Macaca mulatta: one gene and its partners. The protein of the gene in region 1 interacts with the protein of each later gene in a biochemical or structural test. Links are inferred from orthologs where the notes say so. Each region holds a gene or a part of one and is shown on either strand. Other genes may lie near its edges.

Region 1 (3,342 bases):
ATGATTAAACCAAGAATGTGAAAATCCTAACAAAGTAGTATAATTAGTAATGTTAATTAGAAATGAATGTTGGCAAACTGAGATCTGAGGTGGCTCATACTCCATCAAGTGTTCCTCCGGTCTCAAAAAAAAGGCTGTTTAAGTGCCTATAAGACAATGGAGTGGAAAAGAGATTTTTTATTTTTATTTTTCTATATTGGCAGTTTTCCCATCAGTGATTGGTTTTATTACTGAACAGGAACAGCTTAATGCTGAAAATTTGCTGCTGAATGACTGGCAAAGACTATTAGACTGAAAATTTCAAGCACAAATGCACTGAGGAAAAAATGTTCTTCCCAGTAAGAGTCTATTCTCAAATAGAGATATATTCCCTATTAAAATCAGTCTTAAAATAGAAAATATTTTAAAAAATAGTGAAAGACCTTAAAAAGGAAAAAAAGAAATTACTAAAAAGTACATGATCAACATGATTTACAATTAGCTATCTTAAAAGCATGCTTTTTTAATTCTAAAAATCCTATTTACAAAGTATGCTTACATCGCATTTTAAAAGACATGTATCAAATGTAAACAAATCATTACAGCCATTTTATAAAAAGATTCATATTTTTTAAAACATTTTTTGTCATCATTAAAAATTAAAAGGCAATAAAGTGTCATTGTCGTGAAACAGTACGTGATCTTAAGGGAAGAAACATCTCACTAGAGTTTCCACAAGTTCCTTCTTCTTCTAACTGCAGGTCTGGCGGCAAAGGAGGAGCCCCTGGGTCCCCAGGTCTGGGAAGTGTAGTTGAAGAGAAGATGGTATTTTCAGTTCTGCCTACTTCTAGAACAGGCAAATTCAGCGAAGAATTAGTGGAAAAAAAGGGCGTCGTGCTGGATTCTCCTTCTGGATGGTACATGACAGTGGATGCCCTCAGTTTTTCAGAGAAATTACTCTCATTTGAATTTGATCTGGAGAGGTTGTTCGTGGCTCCATCTGGAAAAGGTTCACAGCTGCTACATTTTAGTCCTACAATAAAATTATTCATATGTAAATGAAAAAGTAACTAAAAAAAATGGAGTCACTGTCCATCTTGTGACTTGTTAAAGATTACAAGCTAGTTACCCCACAATCAAAATTTAAATAGCAATTTATAATTTCTGTCATAATCTATTTCAAATCTAATTTGCTTTTCTCAACAACTATGAAGTATACTATTATTTGCATTTTCTAGATAAGAAAATAGTCTCATGGAAGTTAAACGACATGTTATAATTCTTATTTAAGGTACAGTGTACATATAAACTTAACCATCTAAAATTTTTTATAAAATAAGAAATAGCTTTCACAATAAATATTCTTTAGTATTCTGGTACAAAAAATATTAGCCAATAAAAACAAAATGTAAACAGGGCAGATGCTAAAATTCTATCTGTTGATCAATGGCAATGGCTAGTTCTTGAATAATAGGATATTAGAACTAAAAGGAATTTCAGAGGTCACCTAGGATAGTCTCTTATTATTAAAAATGAGAAAAAAGGGCGGAGCATGGTGGCTCACAGTTGTAATCCCAGCACTTTGGGAGGCCGAGGTGGGCGGAACATGAGGTCAGGAGTTCGAGATCAGCCTGGCCAACACGGCGAAACCCCGTCTCTACTAAAAATACAAAAATTAGCCAGGCGTGTTGGCAGGTGCCTGTAATCCCAGCTACTCTGGAGGCTGAAACAGGAGAATCGCTTGAACCTGGGAGGTGGAGGTTGCAGTGAGCCTAGATCGTGCCATTGCACTCCAGCCTGGGCAACAAGAGCAAGACGGTCTTTAAAAAAAAAATAGAAAAAAAAAAGGCACAGGACAGTCAAGTCATGTCCAACATTCCAGGACTACTTTGTGGGAAATTGAGAACTACAATTCAATAGATAATGTCCTGTTTCTCAACCTCATAGTTTACTCAAATGACAGTGGTTGTTCCCAACAGCTATGGTATGAATGTATCTGCCAAAATTTCACATGTTGGAAACTTGGTTGCCACTGCAGCAGTGTTAGGAGCTGAGGCCTTTGGGAGGCAACAGGGTCATGAGGGCTCTGCCCTGGACTAATGCCATTATCATGGGAATGGGTTACTTATTTTGGGAGTTCGACTCCTTTTTCTTCCCTTTCACACTCTTGCCCTCCCTCACTCTTCCATCTTCTGCCCTTCCACCATGGATGACCCTTGCCAGATGCTGGCACCATGGACTTGGACTTAACCAGCCTCCAGAACTGTAAAAAATGAATACATTTCTTTTCTTTATGAGTTACCCAGTCTCAGGTATTGCTACAGCAGAAAACAACTTAGATACCATCAAAGAATTTTATCACATCCAAGGGGTGTAGTTAACCATTATCCACAGGATTGAAAGAATAAACACAAATACAATTTACCCTTCTGTTAGGCTTAGCAAATATTCAACCTACAGGCACAGAAACCCTGAGTTGACAATTTTTAGGTAAAACCTGCATAGTCTATAAAGGACACTTACATGTCACTTCTTCCACTAGTTTTTCAACCTTACAGTCAGCATGTCTATTCCATGCTATAGAAACTACTTTCTTAGATATGGCTCAAAAGGGAAAACTTGTAATGTGTCCCAGCAAGGGGACACTTACAGACTATGAGTTCCTTAAGGGCAGAACCCTAAATTATTCTTTTCTGTATCCCTAATGCCTAGAACAGCTGTAGAACGTCACATGCACATTTATGTGTTCTGGAGAGAGAGAGAGAGACAGCAAGGAACAGAGAAAGGAGGGGGTTGGGGATTTAAATTGTGTAGGCAATTCCACACAATATTCCAATCAATGAGTGTATATTCTGGAGTGAGAGTCAAATGGGACAGGTGAATTTGCTATTCTCTTAATGTTTCCATGCTTTCACATCCTGCCAGACTAGTTTCAAGTCACGAATATTTTATGCAACGTGATTCCTATAAACAAGTGCCAATTATTTCATCTTGTGATCGATCAACTGGTGATCACAAGAAAAACTAGCAGAGTTGGACTTTTAAAATACTTTGCCTAAATACTGTTCTTTATGTGCGATGTACAGTATTTTCAGAGGTTACTCTTGAATAATTTTATATTCTGCTGACTTTAGAAACAAATCCTTATGTATACAGGGATTTCATAATAGTTACGTTTTCCATAAATGGTATTAAACGAATAGAAATGCAGTATATTGACAGATATTCCACTTTTTCAATGTAGTAAGGTCATATAAGGTAAAATAAATGCAAATTGAATATAATTTTGAAGTTTAAACTCTTTGAAAGCCAAATGATCATTTCTGTTTTTTTTTGTTTTGCTTTTTTGAGACAGGGTCTTGC
Region 2 (4,079 bases), on another chromosome or scaffold:
ATGTCCATGATCCCACTCTGCCTGCCTTTGCCTACCCATAGCTTAGCTCTCGCTTTTAAGTAAGAACATGGAGTATTTGGTTTTCCACTCCTGAGTTACTTCACTTTAGATAATGGCCTCCAGTTCCATCCAAGTGCAAGTTACTGCAAAAGACTTTATTTCGTTCTTTTTCATGGCTGAGTAGTATTCCATGGTGTGTGTATGTGTGTGTGTGTGTGTGTGTGTGTGTGTGTGTGTGTGTGTGTGTGTGTGTGTTTGTGTGTATCACATTTTCTTTCATCCAGATTTTTGAGTCCACAATCCCTGTAAACCCTTGGGACCATCCCACCCACGACGCTGGCCATTTGGGGTAAATTATCAAAATGCTGACATCCAGCCGGACACGGTGGCTCACACCTGTAGTCCCAGCACTTTGGGAGGCTGAGGTGGGCAGATCACTTGAGGTCAGGAGTTCGAGGCCAGCCAGGCCATCATGTTGAAACCCCATTTCTACTAAAAATACAAACATTAGATAGGTTTGGTGGCGCACGCCTGTAGTCCCAGCTACTTGGGAGGCTGAGGTGGGAGAATTGCTTGAACCCAGGAGGTGGAGCTTGCAGTGAGCTGAGATCGCACCACTGCATTCCAGCCTGGGTGACACAGCAAGACTCCGTCTCAAAAAATAAAAATAAAGTAAAATGATGACATCCAAATCACAATTTCTCTCACAAGCATAGTTCACCAGAACGTTGAGGGTGCAAGCTGATGATGGATATCTTGGACCCCAAAGCTTTTGGGGTGAGGAAGGCCTTTGCAGGGGTGCTGACCAGCCAGCATGCCCAGGAAGCTTCCAGAACAGGGGCTGAGGGAGGAAAGAGGCTTGGGGTGTAGGAGGCTGCAGAATTTTATGTGGGACACCCCGTTCTCCCGCGCACACACACATTGCAGTGACAGGCTCTGGAATTTCTTGAGAAATTCGGCTAGACCTGGGGAGCCAAAGGCCTGAAGAACCTAGAAAGGGGATAGCCCCTTCCAAGGCCCCACCTGGACTCTGCCTGGGGTCACAGCTGGGTGGGGACTGACAACCAGGCTGGTCCAGCCTCACCCCGACTGATGCAGGTGGCCTGGACCCCGAGACTCGCCTTGGTCTCCCCATCCCCGGCTCCCTGATCTGTCCCCAAGCACCCCCACCCCAGGCCCTGTCCCCACTCCCACCCCCACCTCCTTACCGCCCTCCTCCCGAAGCACCGACTCCGCCCCCTCCCTCTCTTCCTTATCTTTTTCTAACCTTTCGCATTTTTTAGTCTCATTTCCTGTCGGGTTTTGCATTTCCCTCCCCCGCCCCTCCTAGCCTATGACATACTTTCTCTCCTTTTTTCTCTCCTGCCTCCTCTGGCCTTCGGACTCCTGCCCGCGCCGCCCGCAGCCCCCTCCTGGCCCTGCAGCCCCTGGGCGGGCAGCGCCCCTCGGAGGACGGGTCCGGGCCCGCGGGGACGGAGGGCCCGGTCGCCTGGAGGAAGCCGGAGGCCTGCGTGGAGGAGGCGCCCCGCGCAGCTGGCGGAGCATGAGCGCCCCAGGTAGGCGCAGCCGGGATGGGGGAGCTGGTGGAGGGGGAGCACGAGGCGGGGAGCTGGGGAAAGAGAGGAGGACATGGGGAGGAGATGGGGGGCATTAGTGAGATGACATGGTAGTGGGGCGTGGGGGGGATGGGAGTGGCTCCTGCTGGCCCCGCGATGATGGGGGTATCCTTCCATCTCTGTCCCCCTGCCCCACTTCTCTCTCTCACTCTTATCTCCTCCTTTTCCCTTCCAACCCTTTTTCTCCCTCACTTTCCACCTCGTGTACCTCTCCTCCGTGTCTCTCTGAGCCTCTCTGAGTATCTCTGCCCAGCAAAACCCCCACCTCCTCCTACTGGACAGGAAAAAATCGGGGGTCAGGAGGCTGCAGCCCCTTGGTGCACCTGCCCAGAGGGAGGAAGAGAAACTTTTCTGACACCTGAAGGGCCCGGAAGTTTGCAGACCACAGCCCAGCCTGACTCAGAGGCTCCTGGGAAGGTGGGGCCTGGCTCAGGGAGGAAGGGCAGCCCCACCAAAAGAGGGTATGGAGCTGGGAGATGGGAGAGGACAGCCTCCCGCAGGGACTCTGCTAGAAAGGGAGTGGTGGGGGCACAGGAGGGGGCCCAGGTTCCCCACTGAAACCCGGACCAGTCCCCAGCGGCCTCAGGCCTGAAAGCCACCCACCCCCAGGAGGCCGCTCCAGGCCCGATGGGGCCACCAGGCCTTCTGCTGAGCCCCCTCTGAAGATAGGGGCAGAGAGGGTGTTTCTGTCCCTCGGGGGCTCTGAGCACCGCTGGAGGCTGTCACAGGGACCCAGGTTCATGGACAGTGGTCTCAGCTGTGAGCTTCAGGGCTGCCCACACAAACTCCGTCTTGGACCAAACTGACCTCTGTCTGTCCCGCCTGCTCTCAAAGCCTTTGATTTGTAGTTCAAAAATGTTTCTCCTGACGTTTATGACTCGTCTTGAAGGTATAAGGTTACCAACCTGCCAGAAAGGGGAGAGAAACAGTCGATCGTTCATTCCACGTTTATTAAGTGCTCAGCATGTGCATAATATGTGCCAGAAATCCCAGGAGCCAGGAATTAATATGAGGACAGGAATTTCTCCGTCAGTGTACGTTTTTGTGCTTAATATGAGGACAGGAATCCATTAAGTGTCCATTTCTGTGCTTTCGCGGAACCTCCCGTTCTTTCCCCAGCGAGGCATCTGTAAAGAGATGATACTCCTGCCTCCGGCCGGGGCTGCCCTGAGGACAGTAACAGTGACCGGGACTCTGAAGCATAGCCAAGGCCAGGGACTGCTTGGACCCGTGTAGATGTTACTTGCCTGGGTATCAGATAGGCAGGCCGTGGCTCCCCTGGCCCCAGCAGTCTTCAGTTAATGCATGAATGGTCCTTGATGTGATTTTTTTAAAAATCGTGGTGAAATACACATGACATAAAAGTAGCTCACTGAACCGCTTTGAAGCGCACAGTGGACTGGCGTTAAGCCCATTTGCATTGTCTTGCAGTGGTCACCACCGTCCAGCTCTTCCCAAACTGAAACTGTGTCCCCCATTAAAGAACATCTTCCTGGCTCCCTCCTCAGTCCCTGGCAGTCACACTTCTCCATTCTGTCTCTAGAAATCTGATGATTTTCCGGACCCCGTATAAGGGGGCTCATACAACCTGTGTCCTTCCCGTGCCTGGCTTATTTCTCTGAGCCTCATGTCCTCAAGGTTCGTCTGTGTTGTCACCTGTGACCGAATCTCCTTCCTTTTTCAGGATGAATAATATTCTGTCGTGTAGATAGACCATATTTCGTATATCTGCTCATCCTTTATGTGATTTTTAAAAATGACTTCTGGCCGGGCGCAGTGGCTCACGCCTGTAATCCCAGCACTTTGGGAGGCCAAGGCGGGTGGATCACCTGAGGTCAGGAGTTCGAGACCAGCCTGGCCAAAGTGGTGAAACACGATCTCTACTAAAAATACACACAAAAAATTAGCCTGACGTGGTGGTGCATGCCTGTAGTCCCAGCTACTTAGGTGGCTGAGGCAGGAGAATCGCTTTGAACTGGGGAGGCGGAGGTTGCAGAGAGCTGAGATCGCACCACTGCACTCCAGCCTGGGCGACAGAGCAAGACGCTGTCTCAAAAAAAAGACTTCTAAACCTAAGTCTTCTAAAGATGACGACGCTTGTTTGAATCCATCAGTGGGTGTGTGTGGGTGGCTTTGTACTTGGTGGCACAGGGGACGCAGGAGGGATGTGAGAAGCAGTGCTCCAACCTGAGTAGGTTCATCACACAGTCTGTGTATGCCGTGGTCAGAGTGTGGCTGAGACGCACATGAGATGGAAAAGAATTAGGAGGAGTGGGGAGGGAAGCAGGGAGTGAACTTGGGAGATGGTAGGACTCAGAAGGTCCAGGGATCCCTGGAAGGTTCCAGGCTGAGATGGTGCTGAAAATCTCAGGGAGGAAGGGCAATCCCCCCGAAAGGGGGTGCAGAGTTGGGAGATGGGACAGGACAGCCCCCTGTGGACACTGTACTAGGAAAGGGGTGGCA
Region 3 (4,193 bases), on another chromosome or scaffold:
GCTCCTAGGGATGGGGGCTGGGCAGAGGACCCAGCACCACTGCCCGCCCCCACCACCGCCTTCCCCGTCACTCACCGATGATCATGGAGAAGACACGGGCCGGCTCCTTGCCCGTGACCTTCTTGTACAGCTGTGGGTAATAGAGTTCCAGGCTCTCGAGGAAGGCCACGTAGCCCTTGTGGCCGGTCCGCTGCAGGATGTCCAAGAGCACGCCTGCGGGCCAGAGGGGCCTAACTGGGGGCGGGGCACAGGCGAGGCAGAGGGCTGGGGTGGGTGGGCCCGGGGGCAGGGACAGGTGGAGGCTGGGATGCAGATGAGGTGTGCTGTGGTTTGGGTCGTGGATGAGGCACCCTGTGGGTCTTGGTACTAGGCTGGGGACAAAGTGCTGTCCACCCATCCCTTGGCTGTCTCAGGAGCCCCCGCTGTGGTGGGAGTCCCACTGCCCCTCTTGGCAGCACCGAGCTGGCAGGAGAGGCTGGGGGATAGGGTGGCCATGTGCCAGGGTTGAGGTTGGGCCTCACTGGGAGGCCAGGGGCAAAGCCAGGCGGGGCTCTCCTGGGGTCGAGGGTCAGGGTGGCAGAGCGTGCAGCCACCTCCAAGCGGGCTCCTTGGTTGGGTTTGGGACCTGGGGCCTGCGGGGCAGCACTGACCCACTTTCCGTTTGCGGATGACCAAGTTGGGGTCACTGAGCACCTGCTCCTCATCGTCGGGGTTCAGGACCTTGCACTGCCGCAGGTAGGGCGTGATGCGCGAGGGGTCGATGACCGACGTGAGCATCACCCGGAAGCCCTCCAGGACGCTCCAGCACTCATCATCGTTCTCGTAGTCCGACATGGCCTCGCAGGCAGGCTGGGGGGTGTGGGGCAGCCGCTGAGAGTGACGCCGGCTCCTGCCCCCACCCAGGCCCGGCTCCCGCTCCTTCTCAGACGCTGGGCCAGGGCTCTCGTCAGGGCTGTCGAGGGGGTCAGCCCAGGGGCATCCAGGAGAGGTACCCAGCTCCATGTCCCATCCCCATGCTGGATCCCCCAGGGAGGCGGCAGAGACACAGTGACCCGCTCCCCGCCAGACCAGCCGAGGGCCCCTCCACAGCCTTTCCCAGCCCCTGCTCCTGCCCCTTGGCCATCCGTGTCACCCAGATATGCAGCGGGGGAGACACAGATGGGGTCTGAGAGAGGAACTGCCTCCACGGCATGACTCGCCTCTGGCCTCCGCCTCCTGGACACTCCCACCACGCCCTGGAGCCTACAGGGGCAGCCACCTCCATGGGTGGAGGAGCTGTGGGCACCTGCCTGGCACTACGGCCAGCCCAAGCTGGGTGAGAGCAGGTTGGCCAATGACCCTCCCACTAGGGCAGCAGCTGGGGGAGCCGGTTCTGGCGGAACTTCCCCATTTCCCTGACCGACGCCTGCTCACATCCCGCGCTGTGCCCTCCCTCCTCCATGGCCGGCTGTTGATGATGCAAGAGTGGCCACCCAGCCCTGCCCCAGCTGCCAGGGTCGCTGCACTGGCCGGGAAGAGCTGCCCACAGGAGCGTGCCTCTGTCACTCCCCGCCGGCCCCGCAAGCTGGGAGGGGCTGTCGGTGTTGCCCTTGGCTGGCCAGGAGTGCTGCTGTGCTGTTTTCTCCAGGTTCTTAGGTGACGGGCACCCGTCAATCTCTGGACTCTTCTCCTGCCCCCGATGAGGCCCGACCCCCATCCCACTGGCTGAAACAAGAGAACTACCCATGTTGGGACCAGCCCAGCCACTGCTGTCCCTTTCTGCCAGCACGGTGGAAGCCTCAGCCGCTGAAAGCCACTCCCTCTGGGACTGGGGCAAGGCTGGGAACAGCCACATGGTCCTGCCTCCCACGCAGGTCCCCGGTCCTCAGCCTCCAGCCCCACTGGGAAATGCTGGTTTCCTGCCTAAAGGAGCTGGGTCACTACTCCTGGAGACACTTGGTCTTTTGAAGTGTTTGGTCTTGGTCTTTTGAAGAATTTCTCAACTTCCCACTGTACTTTGTCACCCCATTCAGGACAGTTTTGACAGACAAGGGGCTGAATAGAAACACCGGCCACACAGCGGACAGTCCTGGGAACACTGGGCCCCTTTCCTGCCTCCCCAGCCTGAAATGCAGGGTCCCACCTGCCACCGTAATGCCACTGAAATGAACATGTCTCCGCCCAGTGGCCATGAAAGGGATGGGGCAGCGCGGCGGAGGCTGCCTGGCTGCCTGTGGGAAGCCTCATGCTGCTCTGCGGGGATCAGCGCCAGGATTCTGAACGAAGCCGGCGCCGACCTTCTTGGTCACTTTTCAGAAAAGTACCAGACCCACCCACCTGAGGGTCTTCCAAGGAGCCACCTGCACGGCAGACGCACCAGGAGCCTGGGACGCGGAGCCTCGGGGAGATGCTGCCTGGGGCTGCAGGGAGGGAGGAGCGTGCCGGACGCCTGTGCACTTCCTGATGGCTTAACTCCACAGTCCCGCCAGTCCTCCCACAGGGGGACAGTCCCTGGTGGCCTGCCTTCTGATTCGTGCAGCCCAGGAGGCCCCGAGAGGCAGACGGAAGTGGAAGTCCTCTGCCCTCCACAGGAAAACTGCTCTCAGCCCTCCCAGCCTGGCCGGGGGCCAGGGGTCCTGAGAATGCCCCAGAGGCCCAGCCCGGGCACCTGGCAAGTAGAAGAGACAGCAGAGACCCCCAGGAGGCTGGACGAGGCCAGACCGCACCCAGCCGCTTTGACCTGGTCATAGGTTTCTGGAGGCTTCTTCAGGAGGGCATGCTCTGCCCTGTGCGGACACCCTTGCCCTCGCCGGCATCTCAGGACAGCGGGGCAGGGCATGTGCAGGGGGCACACAGCCACACAGCATGCCCAGCACACGCCTTGGTCATGAAAGGGCTGCAGCCCACCTTATGGAGCCCAGGAGGCCACTGCAGCCTGCCAGGGGCCATGGCACCGGCCACCACCCAGCTGCACACGGGGGAGAAGCGTCCCTTTCAGAAGTGTCGCTCGGTATCATTATCCTTGTCACGAGGCATCCTTGCTCTTCTCCAGGATGCACGTGAGGACTGAGGCCACTCCCAGGGTCCCCCAAACCAGCTTCAGAAGCACCGGTGATGGCAGGGCACAGCCCGCCCCCCATCCACAGACAACGGGCAGCAGGGTCTGCCCTGAACTATGCACTTCAGCGTGGGGCTGCTGGAGCCTCATCCCTGCAGGCTGGGGAGCCCCCAGGCCCCGCCTCACCGGTAAAGCTGGTCGAACCGAGTTGCCACCCAACAGCTTCGAGAAGGGGGCTGCCAGGCTGGAAGGCCAGGAAGCTGGTGCGGAGCTCGCCTAACCGTTCCCAGCCCCCGGCCCTCAGGCCTGACATCACGCAGTGAGGAGTGGAGTTAGGGGTCCTCTGGGGCTCTTGGGAATGCCACACTCCAGGCTGGGCCCCTCACCAGCAGCATGAGCGAGTGTGCAGGCAGGAACGCCGTCCTGGGCCCTGCTGGGGAGTGGGCCCGAGCTGGCACCAGGCCCTCATGACCCAGTGATTCCCCAGCTTGTAAAACGAGGGACCCCAGTGATTTCCCTGTGGTGTCCGTCCTTAGGAATTAACACACATACCATGTTCTCTAACCATGTCGGAAGCTAAAAATCAGTAACAGGTATCTGGAAAATCCCTAAATATTTGGAAATTAAATAATATACCACTAAATAACCCACAGGTCAGAGTGGCCACCAGGAGACTAGGCACCAGTTGCTAGAGAACCAGGCACAGCAACACATGCTCAGGAGCGCGGCCGGCCATGGGACCGTCCTGTCTGCCGGGTGCCGAGGGCTGAGGCCCCACGGTGCTTCCAGTGAGGGAGTGAAACCCAGAGAGCAAAGGGCCTGGGGGCGCTGCTGCCACAGAGACGAAGGAAAGGGAGTGAGGGGACAGACGGAGAAGATGGGGGCTGGTCTTATGCCAAGAAAGGCCCACGCAAAAGGACAGTGAAAGTTGTGGGGGCTGCCATCGTGTCTGGGTAGCCAGGTCACCTGTTCCAGGGAACCCCCTGGGTCAGCTGGGGCGGTGCGAGGGCTGGCAGCCATCTGGGGAGGGTGCCGGCTCAGCATGAAGAACAAAGCCACAGGTGCTTTCCATGAAATGGGCGAAAGCCTGCTTCTCTGCTGGGAGGGCAGCCAGGGTACAGGAGGCCTCGAGGACCCCAGTGCTGGGCCCCCAGCA
Region 4 (3,958 bases), on another chromosome or scaffold:
GCCTGCCTCTCCTTGCCCACGGATGTATTATAGATTTGAACTTTTTAGAGGGAACAAAGGAAACAACAGACAACAAGACAGTGGGCAACAGTGTCCTCCCCTAACCCCACTGGGTGACAGCAAGGATAGGGGTTCCTTAGGATGCGAGTCCTTCCTGCCTCCCCCTCAATCATCCTGCAACCCACGCCAGGTCAGTCATGTTAAACTTTCCATCTCTTCTTCTCTGGCTCATTGGCTCTTTGCCACCTAAAAGACCAAGTCTAAAAGCCTCTGCCTCACTTCAGAGCCCTCTGTAATCTGGCCACATCCCACCTACTTCCAGGCTGCCCTCTGGGAAGTCTCCACTTGACTACAACATGGCTTTATCTCTACACAGCTGCAGTCAGTAATGGGTGACTGTCAAAGGTTAGAAAAATAAGGAAAAAATCAAAGTGCTGTCAAGTTCCCCCATCTCTCACTGTGGGTCATGCCAAGGGCTGTGTTCATATCCTGCTGTGAGTGCCACTCCCAGGACATGCCTATCTCCAGGGAGAGCCACTCTGGCAGGCCAAGCCCACGGCAAGTTTCCTTTTATTTTATTTATCTGTCTATTTCTTCTGAGACAGGATTATCTTTTTTCATGAGACTGAGTCTTGCTCTGTCGCCTAGGCTGGCATGCAGTGGCGCAATCATAGCTCCCTGTAGCCTCAACCTCCCAGGCTCAAGCCATCCTCCCAGTCCAGCCTCCGAAATAGTGGGGACTACAAGCGCACACTACCACACCTGGCTAATTTTTCGTTTTTTATTTTTTGAGGAGATAGGGCCTTGGTATGTTGCCCAGGCTGGTCTCAAACTCCTGGCCTCAAGCTATCCTCCTGTCTCAGCTTCCCAAAGTGGAAAGCTTTTGTTTTTTTTTTAAGAGGCACAAGGGCCTGGAGGAACAGTAAGAGTAGCACCTGAAGTGTGTCTGGGAATAGCCACTGAAAGGGAATAAACGCCTGGGCTCCCACCCTCACTATTGTGACCCTTCCAAAGTAAAGAGGTGCACTCGCAGAGTAACCGACCTCGTTTTCAATTAAAATAAAAATTTTTTTGGCTGGGCGCAGTGGCTCACACCTGTAATCCCAGCACTTTGGGAGGCTGAGGTGGGTGATCATTTGAGGTCAGGAGTTCGAGACCAGCCTGGCTGGTATGGCGAAACCCTGCCTCTACCAAAAATACAAAAGTTAGCTGGGCATGGGGGCGGGCACCTATAATCCCAGCTACTCGGGAGGCTGAGGCAGGAGAATCGCTTGGACCCAGGAGGCGGAGGCTGCAGTGAGTCGAGATCACGCCACTGCACTCCAGCCTGGGCAATAGAGCGAGACTCTGTCTCAAAAAAAAAATATATTTTGTTCAGAGCTTCCAGTTATCATGTTATATGGCCTTATTCAGTCTTAGAGATGGAGAGGTGGCCTGCGGCTAGGTCTGTGTGGACTGGGACCCAGTCTCTGTTGCTACAGCTGTGTGAGGCCCAACCTCTCTGGGCTGTGATATCCACCCGTGATGTGGGAACCATACCTGTGCACTCATGTGTGAGCTGTTGGAAATCGAATGAGGTAACATGTACTAGCAGGCTATGTGGTACTATCATAGGGAACAACGGGGAGGAGGGCACCCAACTGCCCCTGAGACCAGAAGGGGCTGCCATCCACCCACCAGAAGTGAACACTCTAGGGAACAGGAGGTGGTGTGGTGAGAAGGTGGAGAGCAGAGCCCCACAGATGAGTCCAGGTGGGTCAGGTGGGTTGGGTGGGTCGGATGGGTTGGGGCAGGTCTGCAGCCCTGGCCCAGCTCTCTGATCATGAATCCCACTCCCTCTCTTCTATGCTCCCTGCCCCCATGTGTGGTGCTGTCCCATCTCTGGAATAAGATCCCTCCTAATAAGGAGAGCAGTGGCGCTGGCACCAAAGGCCTAACGTGGCCCTAACACGCCCAGGGAGGAAGCATTTGTTTTGGAACTTGCCCAGTCCTTCCCCACGCCCAAACCTGTGATGAGTTTTCCTTGTCATTGGAATAATCCCAGCAGAGTGTGCAGCACGCCCTTCCCCCTTCCCTGGTGTTCTCGGAAGTGCCTCTGACTTACACACACACCAGCCCCAGGTGGGCAGGGAACAGAGGATCTGAGAGGCAAAGCAGCCCTGCTGGAGTTGCTGGGGGTCCCCAAGCTTCCTGATGATGACAGAAGTGAAAGGTCTTCCCATCCCCCTTCCTGGTGTCCCACCTGCCCAGACAGGCTGTATGCCTGGCAGCCGCGGGAGCCTCACCTTCCGGAGATCTCCTCCTTGGCAATACTCCATGGCCAGCAGGGGCAAGTCATTGGGCGCCAAGTTCTGCATCCCCTCAGGGACATCTCGGGCTGCCACCACATTGGGGTGCGTCAGCCTAGGAAGGAGGAAAACCGATGAGAGCAGAGCCAGACTCCTGCCCAGACCCATCCCTATCACCCCCATCAGGTCTCAGCAACAAAGGCCCAGGATAACCCAGGGCTTCGAAACAGAGGAAGACAGAGCCCAGTACGGGTGGCCAACTGCAATGCCCCGGTCAGTGGCGTGCACCCAGCCCCACCCGCAGCACCAGAACTCAGACCCTGAGGGCACACTCCGTGTAACTTCCATTTTCTGTGCGTGCTACATCCCAAGTCCTCATCGTGCTGCCAAACTGCTCCTTTGAAGACCTTCCAATCTCATGCCCTCCACATGGGGGGGATGTGTCACACATGCAAGCAGGCAAACAAGGTGGTGCCTGCTCTTTTTGTTCTCGTATTTTTTTTCTTTTCTCTGTTTATTTTTCGGCAGGTTGATTCACCCACACACATCACCCCAAGGTGGACACACAGAGAGGGATCTGAGAAGGAACTCATGTGTAACCAGATAGAACCATGATGTAACCAAATGGCACTTCCTCTTTTTAAGAGGCTGGCAGAGGAGCCCCTGCTTGGTGTCCTCCTCGCTGGCTCTTTCGGAGCCCACCTCACTAGCTAGGGGGTCAGCAGCCACCGGGCAGATGGACGGCCCAGTCTCCACACTAGAGGAATAAATGTCAGCGGCAGCATGACAGCAGAGAACGGTCATGTACCACCTTGGAACTGGAAATACAGGAGGAAAGAAGGCTTTTTTTTTGCTGACAAAGGAAAAGTCACTGTGATAACTGTGTTAACTTATTTAATATAATGAAACTGATGAAAAGTCCCCGACAAGGCCCAGTGTGGACTTTAGCTGCTCTTCCTCTGGCATCTTTAGAAGCAGCAGAGTCACCGTGGAGACTGTCGGGCTGGCGCCCTGATGGAGGGGCAGAGATTTAAGACTCTCCTCTTCTTTTTTTTTTTTTTTTTAAATTAGACGGAGTCTCGCTCTGTCGCCCAGGCTGGGGTGCAGTGGCGCGATCCTGGCTCACTGCAAGCTCCGCCTCCCGGGTTCACATCATTCTCCTGCCTCAGCCACCCAAGTAGCTGAGACTACAGGCACCCACTACCAAGCCTGGCTAATTTTTGGTATTTTTAGTAGAGATGGGGTTTCATTGTGTTAGCCAGGATGGTCTCAATCTCCTTACCTCGTGATCCACCTGCCTCAGCCTCCCAAAGTGCTGGGATTACAGGCGTGAGCCACCGTGCCCAGCAAGACTCTCCTTTCTAGACACACGGGGGGCTGCTGCTCCAGCTTTCCCTTGGGGTGCACAAGGCCCTCACCTTCTCATGATCTGGATCTCCAGGCACCACCGCTCTCGATTCCGGGGGCTGAGCTCCTGCCGGCACTGCTTGATGGCAATCTGCTCACCTGTTTCCTACAGAAACAGCACAGTGGGGACCAGCAGAGCGAGCTGCAGGCCAAATCCCACCCTGTCTGCTGCATGGGAGGGATCTCCAGTCCTCAGGTGTCACCTGCAATCACCTCCTGGTGCTCCGAGGTCACATGTACACACCGATCGACAGCCACATAGC

Evidence for each region.
Region 2: the proteins of BCL10 (region 1) and CARD11 form a complex in vitro, tested with the Homo sapiens proteins (2 studies listed by BioGRID, with this or other methods). The link is inferred for Macaca mulatta from reciprocal best matches to the Homo sapiens genes BCL10 and CARD11.
Region 3: the proteins of BCL10 (region 1) and CARD9 form a complex in vitro, tested with the Homo sapiens proteins (2 studies listed by BioGRID). The link is inferred for Macaca mulatta from reciprocal best matches to the Homo sapiens genes BCL10 and CARD9.
Region 4: the proteins of BCL10 (region 1) and IKBKB form a complex in vitro, tested with the Homo sapiens proteins (2 studies listed by BioGRID, with this or other methods). The link is inferred for Macaca mulatta from reciprocal best matches to the Homo sapiens genes BCL10 and IKBKB.

The regions. Positions count from the first base shown.
Region 1 is NC_133406.1:155,296,063-155,299,404, reverse strand, and holds the end of BCL10 (B-cell lymphoma/leukemia 10), read right to left. Parts: intron 1,013-3,342; coding exon 657-1,012; 3' UTR 501-656; downstream 1-500. UniProt on the Homo sapiens protein: Plays a key role in both adaptive and innate immune signaling by bridging CARD domain-containing proteins to immune activation.
Region 2 is NC_133408.1:37,050,946-37,055,024, reverse strand, and holds the start of CARD11 (caspase recruitment domain-containing protein 11), read left to right. Parts: upstream 1-1,279; 5' UTR 1,280-1,556; intron 1,557-4,079. UniProt on the Homo sapiens protein: Adapter protein that plays a key role in adaptive immune response by transducing the activation of NF-kappa-B downstream of T-cell receptor (TCR) and B-cell receptor (BCR) engagement.
Region 3 is NC_133420.1:6,136,314-6,140,506, reverse strand, and holds the start of CARD9 (caspase recruitment domain-containing protein 9), read right to left. Parts: upstream 2,801-4,193; 5' UTR 2,728-2,800; coding exon 2,317-2,727; intron 1,805-2,316; exon of another isoform or gene 1,723-1,804; intron 1,151-1,722; exon of another isoform or gene 1,003-1,150; coding exon of another isoform or gene 850-1,002; coding exon 651-849; intron 214-650; coding exon 76-213; intron 1-75. UniProt on the Homo sapiens protein: Adapter protein that plays a key role in innate immune response against fungi by forming signaling complexes downstream of C-type lectin receptors.
Region 4 is NC_133413.1:44,370,707-44,374,664, reverse strand, and holds the start of IKBKB (inhibitor of nuclear factor kappa-B kinase subunit beta), read right to left. Parts: upstream 2,801-3,958; 5' UTR 2,637-2,800; coding exon 2,608-2,636; intron 2,404-2,607; coding exon 2,286-2,403; intron 1-2,285.